Drosophila melanogaster: one gene and its partners. The protein of the gene in region 1 interacts with the protein of each later gene in a pairwise test. Each region holds a gene or a part of one and is shown on either strand. Other genes may lie near its edges.

Region 1 (3,576 bases):
GCTGCCACCCCAAGCGCACCCGCCAAGTCCGAGATGATCGACCTGACCAAGTTGAGTCCGGAACAGCTGATTCAGATCAAGCAGGAGTTCGAGCAGGTGCGTTCCGCATGTGGGTGTGTGATGAGTCAAGTGTGCTCGCGGAGGGGGTTTCTGGAGGAGGGGCGCCCCAATTGGCACATGCTTCTAAAATCGGTACATTTTTGTGATCCTTAGGAGATTACCAACGTACAGGACTCGCTGTCGACGCTTCACGGCTGTCAAGCCAAGTACGCCGGATCCAAGGAGGCGCTGGGAACCTTTCAACCCAATTGGGAGAACCGTCAGATCCTGGTGCCCCTGACCAGCAGTATGTATGTGCCAGGACGGGTCAAGGATCTCAACAGGTTCGTCATAGACATCGGCACCGGCTACTACATTGAAAAGGTGATTTACATTTCCAATCGAACCTAGAATATTTATTGATTGCCATCTGTTTCTCAAACAGGATCTGGAAGGCTCCAAAGACTACTTCAAGCGACGCGTGGAGTACGTGCAGGAGCAGATCGAGAAAATCGAAAAGATCCACCTGCAAAAGACGCGCTTCTATAACTCAGTGATGAGTGTGCTGGAGATGAAGCAGGCTGCTGCAGCGAAATTGCAGTCGCAGCAGCAATCGCAGCCGGCGGTTACCCAGAGCTCCTAGACTACGGAGAACGACAGAGACACGAGACACGGAAAGCATTAAATTATTAAACTTATTAACGAGATGTGTGCATTTAATTAACGTAGTTTATTAAATTGTTCAGCTATTTCTTGGCTTCTGCCAAAGCCTTGGTGAGAACCTTGACCTTCTGCTCGTACGCGGACTTAAGATCCTGTAGGGAAAGAAGGTAATAGTATATCAAGTATATCATTGGACTCGAGTTATAAGGCACCTTGAATATCTGTGACTGGGTGTCGTACTCCGAACGCAGCTTGTCATACACTCCTTTGGAGATGGCTAGTTTCTTCTCCGTGAGCACACACTTGTCTTGCTCCGCCTTGATCCACTGCTGGCTCTTCTCCAGACGAGCCTGCGTGTGATCACATTCGGCGGTCTTTAGCTGCAACATGTCCTTGGTCACCTGCAGCACATCCTTAATCGAGTCTACTTGTGTCCTAAGCACTGATATCTGCTGCTCCTGCTGTTTGTTCACCTTGGTCTTCTCGAACAGCAGGGTTTTGGCCTTTAGAAGCAGCTCCTCCTGCTCTTGTCGTGATTTGGGAGCATCTGTGCCGCCCAGCATGACGGACTGCTTGAGCGACTGCTCCAACTGGACCACTCTCCGCTTTAAACGCTCATTTTCCGCCTTGGCTTCCTGCAATCAGGGTCAGTAAGTGGGTGCAGCCCGTGGAGACGAGTAACTAACCTCAAAGTCTTTGCGGAGCGCTCCGATCCGTTTGCGAGACTCCTCTAGTAGTGCCTGTTTTTCGCTTTCCAACGTGAAAACCATGTCCAGCAGTTCGTTCTGCGGCTGCTCCGGCTGACGCACTTCCTCCTGCCCATTTGCTGTTATATTGTTGTTTAGGTCACCGCCAACAGCTTCATCTTCGTTATGATCGGCCATTTTATGAAGAATTCTTTTTAAATGATAAAAATTCGTAGAGCAATGTGCGTTTTCCGTGCTTTTTGGGATGTGTTTTCTTTTTGTATTAATAGACCAAATAGATGCACGCTCTATTTATAGGACATCCCACTCTCCGGATCGCTCTCTGCCTGCTCTTGGCCAGATCGCTCTCCCGAAATAACAAACTGTTTCCCTCCAATTTAGTTTACGCCTCAGCATATTCTGAAGATCAGTTTATTATACATTGAAGCATGGATGAGAAAGGATTGCGGATGTGCGGTGTTAATACAGATCGCGAAGGGCAACACAATTAAATTGTTGTTACAATCAATGGGGCGACAATTGAAAGTGAGTGATTTGATTAAAATTAAATGCCTAAACAAGATAGAAGAAATGTGCTTCGCTCGCGGTGAAGAATGTCTAACCGTCCAGCTCGCCGGCAGCGCATGCATCGGCGTAACTCTTGCCGCTCTTGTCCTCCGGATTCAGCTTGATCATGTCGTCAATACGCAAAATGGTAATGGCGGCCTCCGTGGCGAACTTCAGCGACTTGATCTTGGACATGGCGGGCTCCAAAACTCCAGCCTTCTTGTTGTCCCTTACCACTCCCTCGATCAGATCCAGACCGGTCCACTTAAGATCCGAACGCTCGGGCTTCGTCTGGCTGGAGTTGTGGTAGGAGCGGAGCTTGGCCACTAGATCAGTGGCATCCTTGGCCGCGTTCACGGACAGAGTCTTGGGAATGACCAGCAGCGACTTTGCGAATTCGGCAATGGCCAGCTGTTCGCGGGAAGCCAGCGAGGTGGCAAAGTTCTCCAGGTAGATCGACAAAGCAGCCTCCACACAGCCGCCGCCGGCTACAACCTTCTTGCTCTCCAGCACACGCTTCACCACGCACAGAGCGTCGTGGACGGAGCGCTCCATCTCATCACAGTAGAAGTCATTGGGACCACGCAAGATAATGGATGCGGCAGCACTAAAAAGGCATAGGGATACGATAAAGCAAACTATGTTACTGCATGATATAATCTGCACTTACCGTGCCTTAGTGCCCTTGATGAGGATAAGTTCATCATCGCAGATGCGCTCCTGGGCCACCTCTGCGGCCTCTCCCACCATTGAGGCATCGAAGCTCTCCTCACCGTCCATGTTGGTCAGCGAGGTAATAAAGGCGGCGCCGGTAGCCTTAGCAATGATCTTCAGATCGCTCTTCTTCACACGACGCACAGCCATGGCTCCAGCCTCAACGAAGTACTTCATGCACAAATCATCAACGCCGCCGCTAACCAGTACTACATTGACACCGGTTCCGAGGATCATGTTGATGCGCTCCTTGGTAATGTCCAGCTCACGGGCACGAATAGCCTCCAGCTTGTCGGGATCATTGATCAAGACCTGGACACCCATCTTCATCTTGGTCTTCTGCAGCGAGAAGTCTAGGCAGGCAATCTTGGCGTTCACAATCTTCTTGGGCATCTGCTGGGAGGCAATTGTGCAGTTCAAGGCATAGCCGGGAATCAGCACCGATTCCCTGGCAGACTTGCCATGGGCCTTCAGGACATTGATGGCTTTAATCGAATAGGCTGCCTGCCCACGGGGATCTGTGATTTTCACCGACTGGGCAGCGTCCACAACCATGGCTGAGAAGAACTCTGCGTCAGCACCAATGATCTTGGAGCTCATCGAGGTCTTGGCAATGTTAATCAGGGAATCGCGGCCCAGCTCATCAACGGGAGCGGTCAGATGCTCCGAGATGTACTTGCAGGCCTCCTTGCAGGCAATGCGGTAGCCGGAGATTATGGAGGTAGGATGAATCTTCTGCTTGACCAGCTCGTCGGCGTTTTTCAGCAGCTCAGCGGCCAGGATAACCACCGAGGTAGTGCCATCGCCGACCTCCTCGTCCTGCAGCTGAGCCAGCTCAACCAGGACCCTTAAAATTTAGAAATGAGTACTTCTTTGAAAGATTTCCCACATCAACAACTCACTTGGC
Region 2 (4,713 bases), 3.0 Mb from region 1:
TTTCTTCCTCTGTGTCGCGTTTTTTTTTGCGCGATTTTTGCTTAACAATTTCTTTTGCATTTTCGTGCCACAACGCAAGGACTTATTGAAACAAGAAAGAGGGCGAACTCGTTAAAGAAACGTATTATTTTAAAGAGAGAGTCCACCCAAGTACTTGCCCTCCTACATAAATATCATTCTGTATTATTAAAAAAATTCATTACATAAATTAAATAAATAATATAAAAAGTTCGTTCGAAAGATTAATCCTTCCAGACAGCTGCTCACCTATAAAAGTAGAAAACAATCTGCAAAATGGCTTTTCGGTGTGGTTGTATTTTTTGTGAAATGCTCGATTTAGCCGTGAAGAAGCGAAGGAAATCGCAGTCAAGTGAAAATGTCAGCCACTCAAAATGTGTGCGCCATTTCGCATATATAATAAATCAACGTAAACCGAAAAAAAAAAAACACGAAATGAAGAAAGAAATGGAAGAGTGAAATAAGCTGAGCGGAGTTTATTTTAGGTTTAACGATTTGGAAATAACGCCACAAAACAGGACGACAAATTATTTGGCCATCATCTGCAGAACTTTCGCATGGCATTGGCAGATTGGCGAGAGGGTCTGAAAACTTATTAATTTTCACAAAGTCAGCCACACGCAAAGAGCACGCGCACACACACACATACACAAAATTGTGAAAAACTGTGACGTTATGCACATGAGTGAGCAAATAGCAGCAGCCACATCAGCAACCAAAATGCATAGCATACTTTGCTGGGCAATAAGTATTTGAGTTTTTGAAGGGACGCACTATAAGCTGGATTTTTTTTATTTTTTTTTTATTTAATTGACTAGCTGTTATGTTATTAATTTTGGCCACAAAAAGGTACCATTCAGACTATAGTGGAATGGCTGTGAAATGAAATGGTAACATGGTGAGAAAAGATGTTAAAAATATAACAAAGCAACAATAAATATTTGTACGTACTTATTTATTGCCTGTTTTTTGATTTACAAATATTTAAAAAAAATCTTATTTTTTTCTTATTAGCCCTCGAGCAAACGTTTATACTCGATCAGAATTTGCTCCTCCTGATCCAAGGGCAAGTTTAAGTAGTGGTTGTTGTTCTCGGCGAGGTTCTCGTTGAATCTCTTGAAGGCATTGTAAGACTCAATCTCCGACTTGGCCTCGCTAAGGACAGTCTGGAGCAAGTTCACCTTGCTGTTGGATAAGTTTACGAGTGGGGTGGTGCTATTTGCAGTCGCATTAGTTGAGCTCGTAGGTTCTTGAACCTCCAAAACTTTTGTCATGGTTTCAATAACATGAAGTAATTCCGATTCGTTGGGGAAACTTTTCAATAGAAATTTCAGAGATTTATGGAAACTGTTGCCCGTAGTTTCCAAAGCATCTCGAGCGGAAATCTCCGAAAATCCAAGGTGCTGTAGAGTAGTAAGTAACGATTCATCGACAGGAGGAATGGGCGGCAGATTGGCCCTAAGTTCATCTGAATGACGCTGCAGTAGATCCAAACTGCGATCGAGATTATTTTTGGTCCTCTTCAGAGCCTCCACAACCAAACGCCTTTCGTAGCCCATTTCCATGAGCCTAATAATGCTGCGTGGATTGACCCATTCTCCTCCTTGACCGGCGAAAATCATCTCTTGGTTGACTTGCCTCTCGGCAGCCGAGTTCTTTCGCTCCTCACTGATTCTCTCGCTGCGTTCCTGGATATATTGAATGGCCCTATCCACTTGGCCCGCACAGGATCTCAAGGCCAACCTGGCATCCGATTCCTCATAGCCCATTTCAACGAGAGTGCTTAGCTCAGTGTCATTCATCTTGACCTCATACAAGTCCTTTGTCGCCACCTCCAGTTTTTCGTAGGCCTCATCCCGGCGATTTTGGTGAAAGAGGAGCACACCTTGGAGCAGGTGCAGTCTCATGATCAAAGCTCTTTCCGGGCTACTTGGACCCTTAATCGAGAACAATCGAATGAACTGCTCGCCATAGCTCTTGACAAAGCCCCTCTCGCAAATATCCAAACGTCGCTGTGCATCTGGCAGTTGGGTGATGTTCTTCAGGCGCAGATAGCACCAAACAATATCTAGATTGATTAAGGCATAGTTATCCACTCCTTCCAGGAGCTTTGAGTCACATTGGGAGAAGAGTTCATCGGCCTCGAGTAGGATGAGTAGAGCCTCATCGAAGTTCTCCTTATGCATGGCAACTCTGGCCACTTCGTACATGCTCATGGCCATCAATAGGGATCGATTTTCCTCGCGTGGCAAGAAAATTGGACGTCCATCCTGATCCTCCATTTCCATAAAGCGATCTGCATCCGCAACTAACTCCAAGTCCGCACGAATCCTTTGGATACGTTCGTGCAACTCCTGACCTTCATTAGTTCCACCCACAACCACCATGAGGTGCTGATTGGTTTTGAGCCCCTGCGAGGCCAGTGTCTTCTGCCCATTGATGATGCGTCCTCCGGAGATGCATTTCACATGACTGGAATCAACGATATCCAACTTCTTGGCCACCTCAGCTTGCAGATCCGAGCCCAGTCCACCCAGCGAACACTTGATCTCCAGCATTTGCACGGTGCCACCCTTGCTGTCCACACACCGCACATTGAACGTGGCCAATCCGGTGTCATTGAACTCTCGGCGAGCCGCCAGCTTCCGCAAGGCACCATCTTGCAATTCGCCCAAGGCAATTCTGCAGTCCGACACACTGATGCCCAGTTCGCCACTGATGTCCCTGGCCAGGCGGTCCATCTCCGACTCGATGCTGCCCACCTCCTCGAAGTAGTACGGCTCCTCCCACAACTTGATATCACGCTCCCGCAGACGAGCTCGCAGCTTAATGAATATATTGTTTATCTGGGACATGTTTCGTGCTGTCGTGCCCGAATCGAACTAAATAATTTCTAAATTTATGACGAACATTTTCAACTCTGACAGTGCTCTTTCAGTGTTACCTTAACATCTGTTTTTGCTAAATGCTAAAAAATGCTAAATTATTATAAATTCAGAGACGTAAGTTAAATCCCTTTAATTGCAATTTATAATTAATTACAATTAATTTTCCATATCAGTATAAAGCTGTTCAAGAACCCTCTCTAGATACCGATTGTATTTATTAACGAATCTTAATCGAATCGCTTCAGTTCGGCTCATAGTTGGAAATTGAAGTTATCTTATCATAATGAAACAAAATTTATTTTCAATCAAATCACTATATTATTGTTCATAGGTTGTTGGGAACAAAGGCTCGAGAATTGAAATCTAATCTGCTGTAAGCTTAAGAGTTTTTTATTTTTTAATAATAATATATTTACATAGACTCGATGCAGACATCAATGTTGGGCAGAAAAGAGTTAAAGGACGCTGTAACTTTATTGGTGGCATTTACGAAGCAGGAACTGGTATCGGCTGGCAATTTGGCAATCAGTTTTAGGGTTTTATTGATCTTTCGGGTCAGCCTCATGGATGCCTTGAACAATTTCCAGAAGCATTTGGCCGAGTTTTTGATGGACGAGCCCACGGACTTATCCGTGGCACAAAGTTTCGAATGCAGATGCAAAATATCGTCGCAGATTTTGATAATCTCCTTAACGGAGTCCACAATCTTGGCCACATCCTTGGGAATGGCAGTGCCACAGGCATCAATAGCATCCACATAGCTGGTGCATGAACTAAGGATGTTTGTCACCTCCTTGATAATACAGTTGGTGCCTCGAACCGTTTTCAATGCCTTGCGAAGGATTTTAAGGCATGTTCTAATAAAGCCCTGTGCCTCCACATCCATGTAGTCAGTGTCATTGTCCAGTTCATCCAGCAACTGCTCCAATTCCGATTCAAAGTCGAAATCATAGTCGAAGTTCTCGTTCTCCAGCAATTCTATTGCATTGGCCTGAAACAAAGAAATATTTATTATATTTAAGTTAATTTTTTTTTAATTGGCAAATCTTACCCGCGTGGTCAGCAGACAGGTGGCCGAAACCAGAACCAAAAGGCAAACGGTGATGGCTTTCATTTTACTGTCCAATTAATAATATTTTCTCGGCCAGTAGTGAAGATCAGTTTATATACCCGCTGAAAACTACGTCTTATCAGAAATTAATCGAATTGCCCACTCCAACTATCTAATACCTTTTTTTTATACGGCTATCATCTAGAAATGTGTAATCAATCTACCTACCTCAAAAGTACTTATATGTATCTATCTATCAGCACTTATCAGCCACTTAAGATACTTAAAATATACATTTTCGATCGGTTAATTTTCATATTGCTCAATTGAAGTGTTTTAAATGAATACAAATCTGAAATGATTAATTAATTTTCCCATTTAAATGCAAACGAAATGTACGCTCTAAAAATGTCGAATATTTTTCTTGTGGCAATTATCACACAATATCCGTTGATGTCAGTGCGAAATTCACTTGGGCACCCTTAAGAATCGAGGCTCAGAACGAATTAAAAGCCATAAACCGCAGACAAAGAGGAAAAGAACCACAATTGAATGGTGGCTGCCACCAGATTTTCCGGGCACAATAGACGGCAAAAGGAAAAAAATTTGTTGCCATTGTCAGCTTAACGCGCTCGGTTCACTTTGTTCGGGTTATAAATGGTAACGTGTGGTTAAGGGTTAATAACTCCCACTAGGGGTGTGTGGAAAATAAGACACTGCCACCAGGTCCAAGACATTTCCAACATACAAAAGAAA
Region 3 (8,019 bases), on another chromosome or scaffold:
TACTTCCGAGGATACAGGAGCTTATGGTCGAGATATTGGAAGCTCATTGCCGGAATTGCTCTGGCAACTGGTGGAAGTGATCCCCGAGCACTGCATGTTGCGTGTAGGCATGACCAATCCACCGTATATACTGGAGCATCTCGAGGAAGTGGCCAACGTCTTGCAGCACCCGAGAGTCTACTCCTTTTTACATGTTCCTGTACAGGTAAGGATCGAGTGTAATATATATAAATATTTTTCGATAGTCAATTATTTCTTTTTATAGAGTGGTAGTGACTCTGTGCTGGGCGAGATGAAACGAGAGTACTGTCGGCAGGACTTTGAGCACGTTGTGGATTTCTTAAGGGAACGAGTTCCCGGTGTCACGATTGCCACGGATATAATTTGTGGTTTCCCAACAGAGACAGAAGACGATTTCGAGGAGACGATGACCCTTTGCGCCAAATATCGCTTTCCCAGTCTGTTCATCAATCAGTTCTTCCCTCGTCCGGGCACACCAGCTGCTAAGATGGATCGCATCCCCGCAAACCTGGTGAAGAAACGAACTAAACGTCTCACGGATCTCTTCTACAGCTATGAACCCTATGCGGACAGAGTGGGTGAAATATACACCGTCTTGGTCACAGAAGTTTCACACGACAAGCTCCATTACGTGGGCCACAACAAGAGCTACGAGCAAGTACTGCTGCCCATGCGGGATAACCTTCTTGGTACTCGTGTCCATGTGCGAATTACCAGTGCGAGCAAGTTTAGCATGGTGGGAGAAATTTTAGACGACGAACGCGATTGGACGAGGTGTGCAAAAAATCAGGAGTTACCAAACGTTCAAGTGCAAACCAGGAGTCGGGAAAGACTAATCCAACGCTATTTTGGCATCGCTTTGGTGTTGGGAAGTCTTGCTTTCCTCATACAGCTTGTAGTTCGACTCTTATAGCCACATCAATAAAACATCTCGTTCCAAATTCATAATTTAAGTAACGTTTTGAACTTAACCTAAGATACATTAGAAACTTGATGGTTCCATATAGGTATGGATTGGCCCAGATCTCCTTAGTACTCATCAGAGGGTTCCGTGCCAAAGTAGCGATCGCCAAAGTTACCAATGCCGGGTATAACATAAAACTTACTATTAATCTCCGGATCCAGAGCGGAAGTAACAATTTTCACCTACATAAAGAAGAACATAAATAAATGCCGGCTTTTGGAATTTAGTGTCAATCTCACCTTTGGGAAGGCATAGGCAATGGAGTGCACACCGATCTCAGCCATCAAAAGCGAGGCCAAGATAATGTTGTCCTCGGGTACATCGTGATCCAGCAGCACCCGAATGGCCATCATGGCCGCTGCTCCTGTGGCCACGGTGGCATCCATTAGTATCACCTTGTAGTCTTTTATGTCTTTAGGCAGCCTCAGGTAGTAAAGCTCCGGCTCGCCGGTCTTAAGATTGGTCTGGATGAGGATCTTTCCGATGCGAATGTCCTTGCACACATCACAAACGGCTTGTTCCATTGTTTCACCAGCTCGGAGAATTGAGACGCCGCATATTTTTCGCGATTCCATACGCTTGCCCTCGTAAAGGACACCTTGTGGAGTCTCCACTGTTGTTTTCTTAAAGGGAAATAAGCTTAGCGCATATTCAATGACTAGCCGTATCAGGCGCTTTGAGTAAAAAATAAACTCATCGCGGGACGTATTTCGGCAACGGATGAACGTGTGCAGGCCCTTTATTTGGGGCGTGGGATGCAGCAAGTGCAGAGAATGTGGCATTGGCTGGTCCTTGTAGGAGTTGGCCAGAGTTTCGCGCAGCTTAAATCCGCGCTGGAAGACAGACAGACAAATTAACAAGGTGAACAGCACCGCAAGCAGGCAATTCATACCAGTTGCAGCTGTGTGTGCACGTGCTGAACAATGAGATGGATGGCCACCTTGTTGTCGCCTCCACGAGGAACAATGATATCTGCATGGGCCATTGTTGGAGCTATGTAATTGCAATAGGAGGGCTTAACCATATTAAGGTATTGCTTCAGCACGCCCTTGAGGTCTCGTCCGCGCTGAGAGATGTCCCTAAAATTGAACAATTGATAACAAAATATGATAATCAAGGTAGGCAGAGCCGAGAACCATCACATACCTTCTTAACCGCCTGGCCAGACGAATATCGGGATCTGTGTCCACAAATATCTTCATGTCTAGCAATTTAAGTACTTCAGGACTATGAAAGGTAAGAATACCCTCGAAGATGATCACATTGGCCCCGTACATGGTTTTCGTTTGGCTCTCACGACCATGTGTCACAAAATTATAGACAGGAACTTCCACCTTTCGGCCCTCCTTCAGCTTGGTGAGCACGTCCAGCAGCAGCTCGATGTCGAAGGCATCCGGGTGATCGAAGTTATATTCGTTGATCAGGGCCTGCTCATGCTGTTTCTCATTAAGGATCTACAGGATTAACATAATGAATTCAGTCAATGTATTTCGTCAACTAAATTATAATTCTCCAACCTTGTAGAAACAGTCCATGGACAACAGTGTTACCCATGGAACGTCTAGGCTTTCGATGATTTTCTCAGCCACTGTGGTCTTGCCAGAGGCACTACCGCCGCAGATTCCTGAAGGAAATTAAGCACATTAGAGAGACTAGAAAGATTTGTTTTTTGGGAGTGATGTGTTTACCTATGACGAAGGGCTCCACCTGTTGCCCAGCACAATTGTACCACGGCGGTCGTCCGGCCGTGTAGATCGTGCGGTTATTTGCGCGTATGATGCATTCGGACGGATTCGCTGTGGTGGTCTGGTTGCCAATGGATGTGGTTCGCTGTCTCCTACCGGAACGTTTAAGAGGCGAATCCAACGATGCTTTAGCAGGCACTGTGGTGGGCGAGGCCGGACAGCAGTTGAGATCCCCGGGCAAGCCATTGCTTAGGTCGGCATACGGATCCACATAGAGTTGCTCTGTGACATCCGAGAGTGAACGGTCATCGCTGCAAATAGTACGTATATAGATTAGTTGGCGATTATCAAGTTCTACACTCCCACCATTTAACGATGACGTTAGCCACAAGTAAAATAATTGGAATTCAGTGATTAGCCATGAGATAACATTTTTATCACCTAGCACTGATTAATTTCATAATAATTTTAAATATTTTGATATGTACGAAAGAGTAGATTACAGAACGTGTTAGTGAAATTTCTACCATGCCGTACCAGCTATTGCAATGCAAGCTTAAAGCTATAAGTTCAAGGATGCAGTATACTCACTGACCTACTCTACTTTAACAGCCCCCATCTGCACACGTATTGACACCCACACAAACGCGAGAAACCAGGCATATCGTCGACGTAAAATTAATCTACTGCTCAATATGTTCTATAAATAGACAAGTTACTTGAGGCCTTAATTGAATGTGATAGAAGATAACATCGTTACGTATTATCAGGTTAATTCTTATATGGCTTTCAATGAGAACAGCTAATACGTTACATTTACAGCTCCCTTTATAAATCACGTTGGTATAGCAAAAGTATTGCAGGAATATGCAGTAATATGATATGGGAATATTTGTGATTTGGCATGAAATACGATATGATCATGATGGGTTGATATCTAATACTAGTAAGTAATATCTAGAAAGAAGTTGGCCGTTAAAACAATAATAATAGACAATAACTAGGGCCAAGTACATGCAAAAACACTCATCATACAATTCTGGGAAGATTTCAAAAATAAGAAAACAGGGGCCGGCAGACAAAGCAACGCTAGACGTATCCATTTATCGAATGCTGCGTAGGCGCGTTCGTTGCACTCATTCTTTCCGCCTTTCTCTGTATCTTCTGCTCTTCATTTGCGTACCAAAATGAAATTCACCACACGGAAAGAAAAAACTGAGGATATATTTTTTTAGAATTCTGCAGAAGGTCAAAAAATGTTGTCAAAATTTTAGAACAATATTTATCATAACATAAAAACGATAAATATTAAAATAAGTTTGGGGTACTTGTGATAAAATGTAAATTTAGAAGAATCAAAAATGTTTCATTTTTCTCTCAGTGTGGGGCCAACAATCTGGTGACGCCACAGACGAGATTCCTCCGCATATTTTTAGTTTTTGCACACCAACAAAAGAAGCGAGAGATGAGCGCTTGCCACGTGTGCCGTGCTCTTCCCAAAAAAGGAACCAACAGGTTATGGCCTTCCAGGCGGGTGGGACAAGGACGGCAAGCGGGAGTTTCCTGGCGAGGGAGATGCAGGACATTGGGAGCCAAAGGGAGGCTAAGGGAACTGGAAATGGCAAACGTGGCTCATGTGTGTTGTTGTGATCGCTGCCATGTTGAAGAATCGAGAGAGCACTTGCTGACGCTATCATCGTTTCACCATTTGTTGTTACTTGCCGCGCGGCAGACTCAATAAACAATGTTAAACACAGCAAGCGTTAATTAAACACTGAGAATAGAAAGAGACGTCGCGAAACGGGAGACTGGACAAACAAGCGCAGCACCAAAACAATTAGAATGGCGGTAAATAACACACACAACAGAAACAACAAAAAGCACTCAAATACAAACACACACACACAAATATGCCTCTCTACAAATGAATGTACAAACATACATATATGAACGTCTGGTATGTAAAATGGGACTTCGATTGGTTTTTACGTTAAGAAATGGGGAAAATGCAATGAATTACATGTGACCATTGGTTTTGGCTGCTATAGCCTTAACCTTTGACTGCTGATGATGCTGTTGTTGTTGTTGCTGCTGCTGTTGATGTGGTTGCTGAAGTAGCTGTTGCTGCTGGTGGTTTGCGATGGTTAGTAAACCGGCGGATGCGGCTGCAAATGCTGAGTTCGCTTTTGCCCCTTTTGGAACATCGTTATTGCTACTATTAATGCTGTTGTTGTTGGTGTTGTGGCCCGACTTGCTGCACAAAAACGTGATGCTGCTCATTTTTAGCCCGATCCCGATCTGCCAGCGATTTTGAATCACTCAGTCCGTCGGCGTGGGCGTGAGAACTTGGATGTGGAGGCAGCAAGAACACAGCAACCGGCGATGCCAAGCCAAAATGGGTCACTCACTCACACAACGCTCACGCGAATCGCCGCCGGCGTGGATCACATGTGATTTAGAGTTTTTATTTCGTACGCAGCGATTCACCTTTTGCGTTGCGGCCAATATTTATTCGATAACTAATGAAAACAAAAAATTAAGCCAAAGGTGTAGCGAGAAGTGCGAGGTGAGCGGCGTTTGGGGATTGAATGACAAGAAAAAGTGTTAAGGCAGCTAAGGTTAAAAAGCTGCGCTGCGCTGCGGTTTCCTCTGCCGGCGTCGTCTCTGCATTGTTGTTGTCGCAAGCCTTCATAGAGGTGGGCATGTGGTACATGAGGTTTGGCGTGACACGACTCAGTCGAAGATGTGCTCTACATTTTAGCCAAATTTGCATAACAAATGTCTCTTTTACTTTTGTTAAGTGAAGGATATTTAATTTGTTAGAGAAAAAAATATTCTAATTTTTAGGCGCATAAAATCATAAAATATTTCACGCTACATATACTTATACACAAGTAATTTTTTATAGCATTCCACGGATCGCACCAAAGTTATTTTAATAATGTTTCTGTGGTATGAATATTATTTTTTCAAACTGCAACATTACAAGTTACTCGCTGACGCGCCCATCCCTAGCTTGTAACTGTTCTCGCAGGGTGTTCGCTTTGCCTTCTCTCTCACACTCTCTTCCGATCCGATGCAACCGGCGACTATATCGAAATTGAATTTATCACATGTTATGCGTTTGCACATGTAGTGGTGTTTGCGAACGCAGGCCCTATGCCATTTTCCCAGCATTTATTTATATTGCGTGATTAGAGGCCCCACGACGCACACATGTAAGTAGGTACGTACGTACATACGATGAATGACTTGGAGCACATGCTCTTTAGATATGTTTGTGCGCGGGTGTGTGTGTGAGTGTGTATCACATTCTAATGACTTCTGTTGGATTTTCACACTTTACTTTTGGCCGTGCGTGAATTAATGCGGCATTAAAAAGTCGTTCGTTACCTGTCGGAGCTAGCGGAACTCGATGGGTTGTAGAACTTGATTTGTTTCGTCTGGGTCACAGACATTTCGACAAGAGAATAGTGATTGCAGCAGCCAGTTGCAGCGATTAGAAAAAAACACGCGGTGATTTACTTCGTCGTGCCTCTCCCTCTCCGAGCAAGTGACTGATTCGTTTCTGAAGGCATTGCGTTGGAAAAACGTGCGCCGCCTTCGTATACATACATATGTATACATCTACCCGAGCTTGAATGGTCAAGTAAAGTGCTAATTGTCAGCTGGGGAAAGGCACTGGAGCGGAGGGACGCTCATTGCCTTGTTTATCTCCATTTGATGCTGTCATTGAGGCATTTATTTATATGTTTTGGGGCAATTCAATTCCATTCGCAAGGCGCTCAGCTGTTTGATTGGGGCGGCGACAGTGTTGCGAAGCGCTGTTGGCTGTTGGGTTGCAGTAAATTCGAATGTGAATGGCTAAATCCGAAGCGGGGTTTTTAAATGTTTGATAATTATTACTTCGAGCTTGTGTCAATATAAGTGAATATTTTACATAAAACTTTGTGGTTTCTAAAAGATTAGCTTACAACATGATCTTTAGGTACTAACAAATAAAAGGTTGTAAATAGCGGTAGTGCTCGGAAAATATATCAACATGAGACAATTACCAATTCGATTATTTTTTGTTGGTCCTCTATCGATAACTGTTACTCTTACTCTCTTGCACTGCAAGCCAAATTCATATTAATTAAGACTATAAAAATAAACACATACAGAAACATGTGGCTGTTTCCTGGCTATCTTGGATGGAGAAAGTAGTATGTAGTAGTATCATAATTTATAGTTTTCTTTCCTCTTGTTCTGTCCCTTAAAGAAACTTTGAATAAATTGCATTTTGTTCAGTTTTAAAATGCATTAAATAATCGATTGCCACGCTAGTTCGATAGTATTTAACGAGCACCGAGTATTGTTCGAGCTCTAAAAGATGGTCACTCCGGACCAGAGAGACGCAACAATATAGCAATTCTGAACTTGGTTCGAGTGTTTTTGCAGCACGAATTGATAATATGCCGTAGGTGCGGCCCAGCGCGGATCATCAGCAGCAGCAGCGATGGCCTACATCAACATCGCCGAGTGGACGCCCGACCAGGTCACCGACTGGATAAAAGGTAATGCTCGAGGTCAAGGAAAGCGCAGCTGAGAAAAAAAAAACTGCATCTCGCAGCCACTGCCCCAAAAAGCAGCAGCAACAACAAGTGCAACAAGAATTTCCGCTTTGTTCAAGGTTTCAACAGGCACATCATAATAATTATGTTTTCCTGATTCTCGCAGGTCTGGATGAGTCTATGAAGGGGTATTTGTACGAGTTCTCCAAGCAGGAGATCGGCGGACGGGCGTTGCTCAACATACGGCCATACGAGCTGGAGAATCTGGGCATGCTGCGCATTGGCCATCAGGAGATCGTGCTGGAGGCGGTGGAGAACTTAAGAAACTTCGTGAGACCCCAAACAAATATTGTGACATACAAACCCGTTAATTGAGCTTGATATTCCAGCATTATCACCTGAAAAACGACAATCTGCAGTTCATGGCCTTGCATGTGGCCACGGCAGCTAAGAATCTGCATCGCGAACTGGCCAGGAATCATGCGGAGAGCACTAAGATCGATACCCGGATACTGCACGATATTACCAGGACGATAGCTACTCTAAAGCCATTGGTGGGCAGCCTGGAGCGAACACCGTTCCGTAAGCAGGAGATGTACCGCGAGTATTGTGGCAATGTGCTCAAATGCGGCCTGGAGCTGGCCACAATTGCCCACCGTGATCGTTTTGCCCTGCAGCCGGTGCCAGCGATTCGACAGTCAGCGGAACGGCTCGAGAATCTTGCCAACTTTGTAATCCAGGACATATCTGATCCCATGGTACTGCAGCCAGCCTCTCTGAACCTTGTCACCCTTAA

Evidence for each region.
Region 2: the proteins of CG5376 (region 1) and CG5111 interact in a two-hybrid assay, tested with the Drosophila melanogaster proteins (one large-scale study listed by BioGRID).
Region 3: the proteins of CG5376 (region 1) and l(2)k01209 interact in a two-hybrid assay, tested with the Drosophila melanogaster proteins (one large-scale study listed by BioGRID).

Annotation. Positions count from the first base shown.
Region 1 is NT_033777.3:22,487,297-22,490,872, forward strand, and holds CG5376 (uncharacterized protein), read right to left. Parts: upstream 1,660-3,576; 5' UTR 1,587-1,659; coding exon 1,389-1,586; intron 1,338-1,388; coding exon 915-1,337; intron 855-914; coding exon 786-854; 3' UTR 737-785; downstream 1-736. Other genes in the region: Pfdn5 (prefoldin 5), read left to right, coding at 1-96, 214-423, 485-682; CCT1 (chaperonin containing TCP1 subunit 1), read right to left, coding at 2,007-2,562, 2,626-3,516, 3,572-3,576.
Region 2 is NT_033777.3:25,504,524-25,509,236, reverse strand, and holds CG5111 (uncharacterized protein), read right to left. Parts: upstream 2,963-4,713; 5' UTR 2,874-2,962; coding exon 1,029-2,873; 3' UTR 958-1,028; downstream 1-957. Other genes in the region: CG5107 (uncharacterized protein), read right to left, coding at 3,319-3,897, 3,958-4,020.
Region 3 is NT_033778.4:17,418,618-17,426,636, reverse strand, and holds l(2)k01209 (lethal (2) k01209), read right to left. Parts: upstream 6,231-8,019; 5' UTR 6,129-6,230; coding exon of another isoform or gene 6,064-6,128; exon of another isoform or gene 5,190-6,063; 5' UTR 4,951-5,189; coding exon 4,691-4,950; intron 2,982-4,690; coding exon 2,674-2,981; intron 2,610-2,673; coding exon 2,503-2,609; intron 2,440-2,502; coding exon 2,132-2,439; intron 2,065-2,131; coding exon 1,878-2,064; intron 1,819-1,877; coding exon 1,225-1,818; intron 1,168-1,224; coding exon 1,051-1,167; 3' UTR 958-1,050; downstream 1-957. Other genes in the region: CG6550 (uncharacterized protein), read left to right, coding at 1-205, 266-934; cnk (connector enhancer of ksr), read left to right, coding at 7,169-7,226, 7,390-7,553, 7,613-8,019.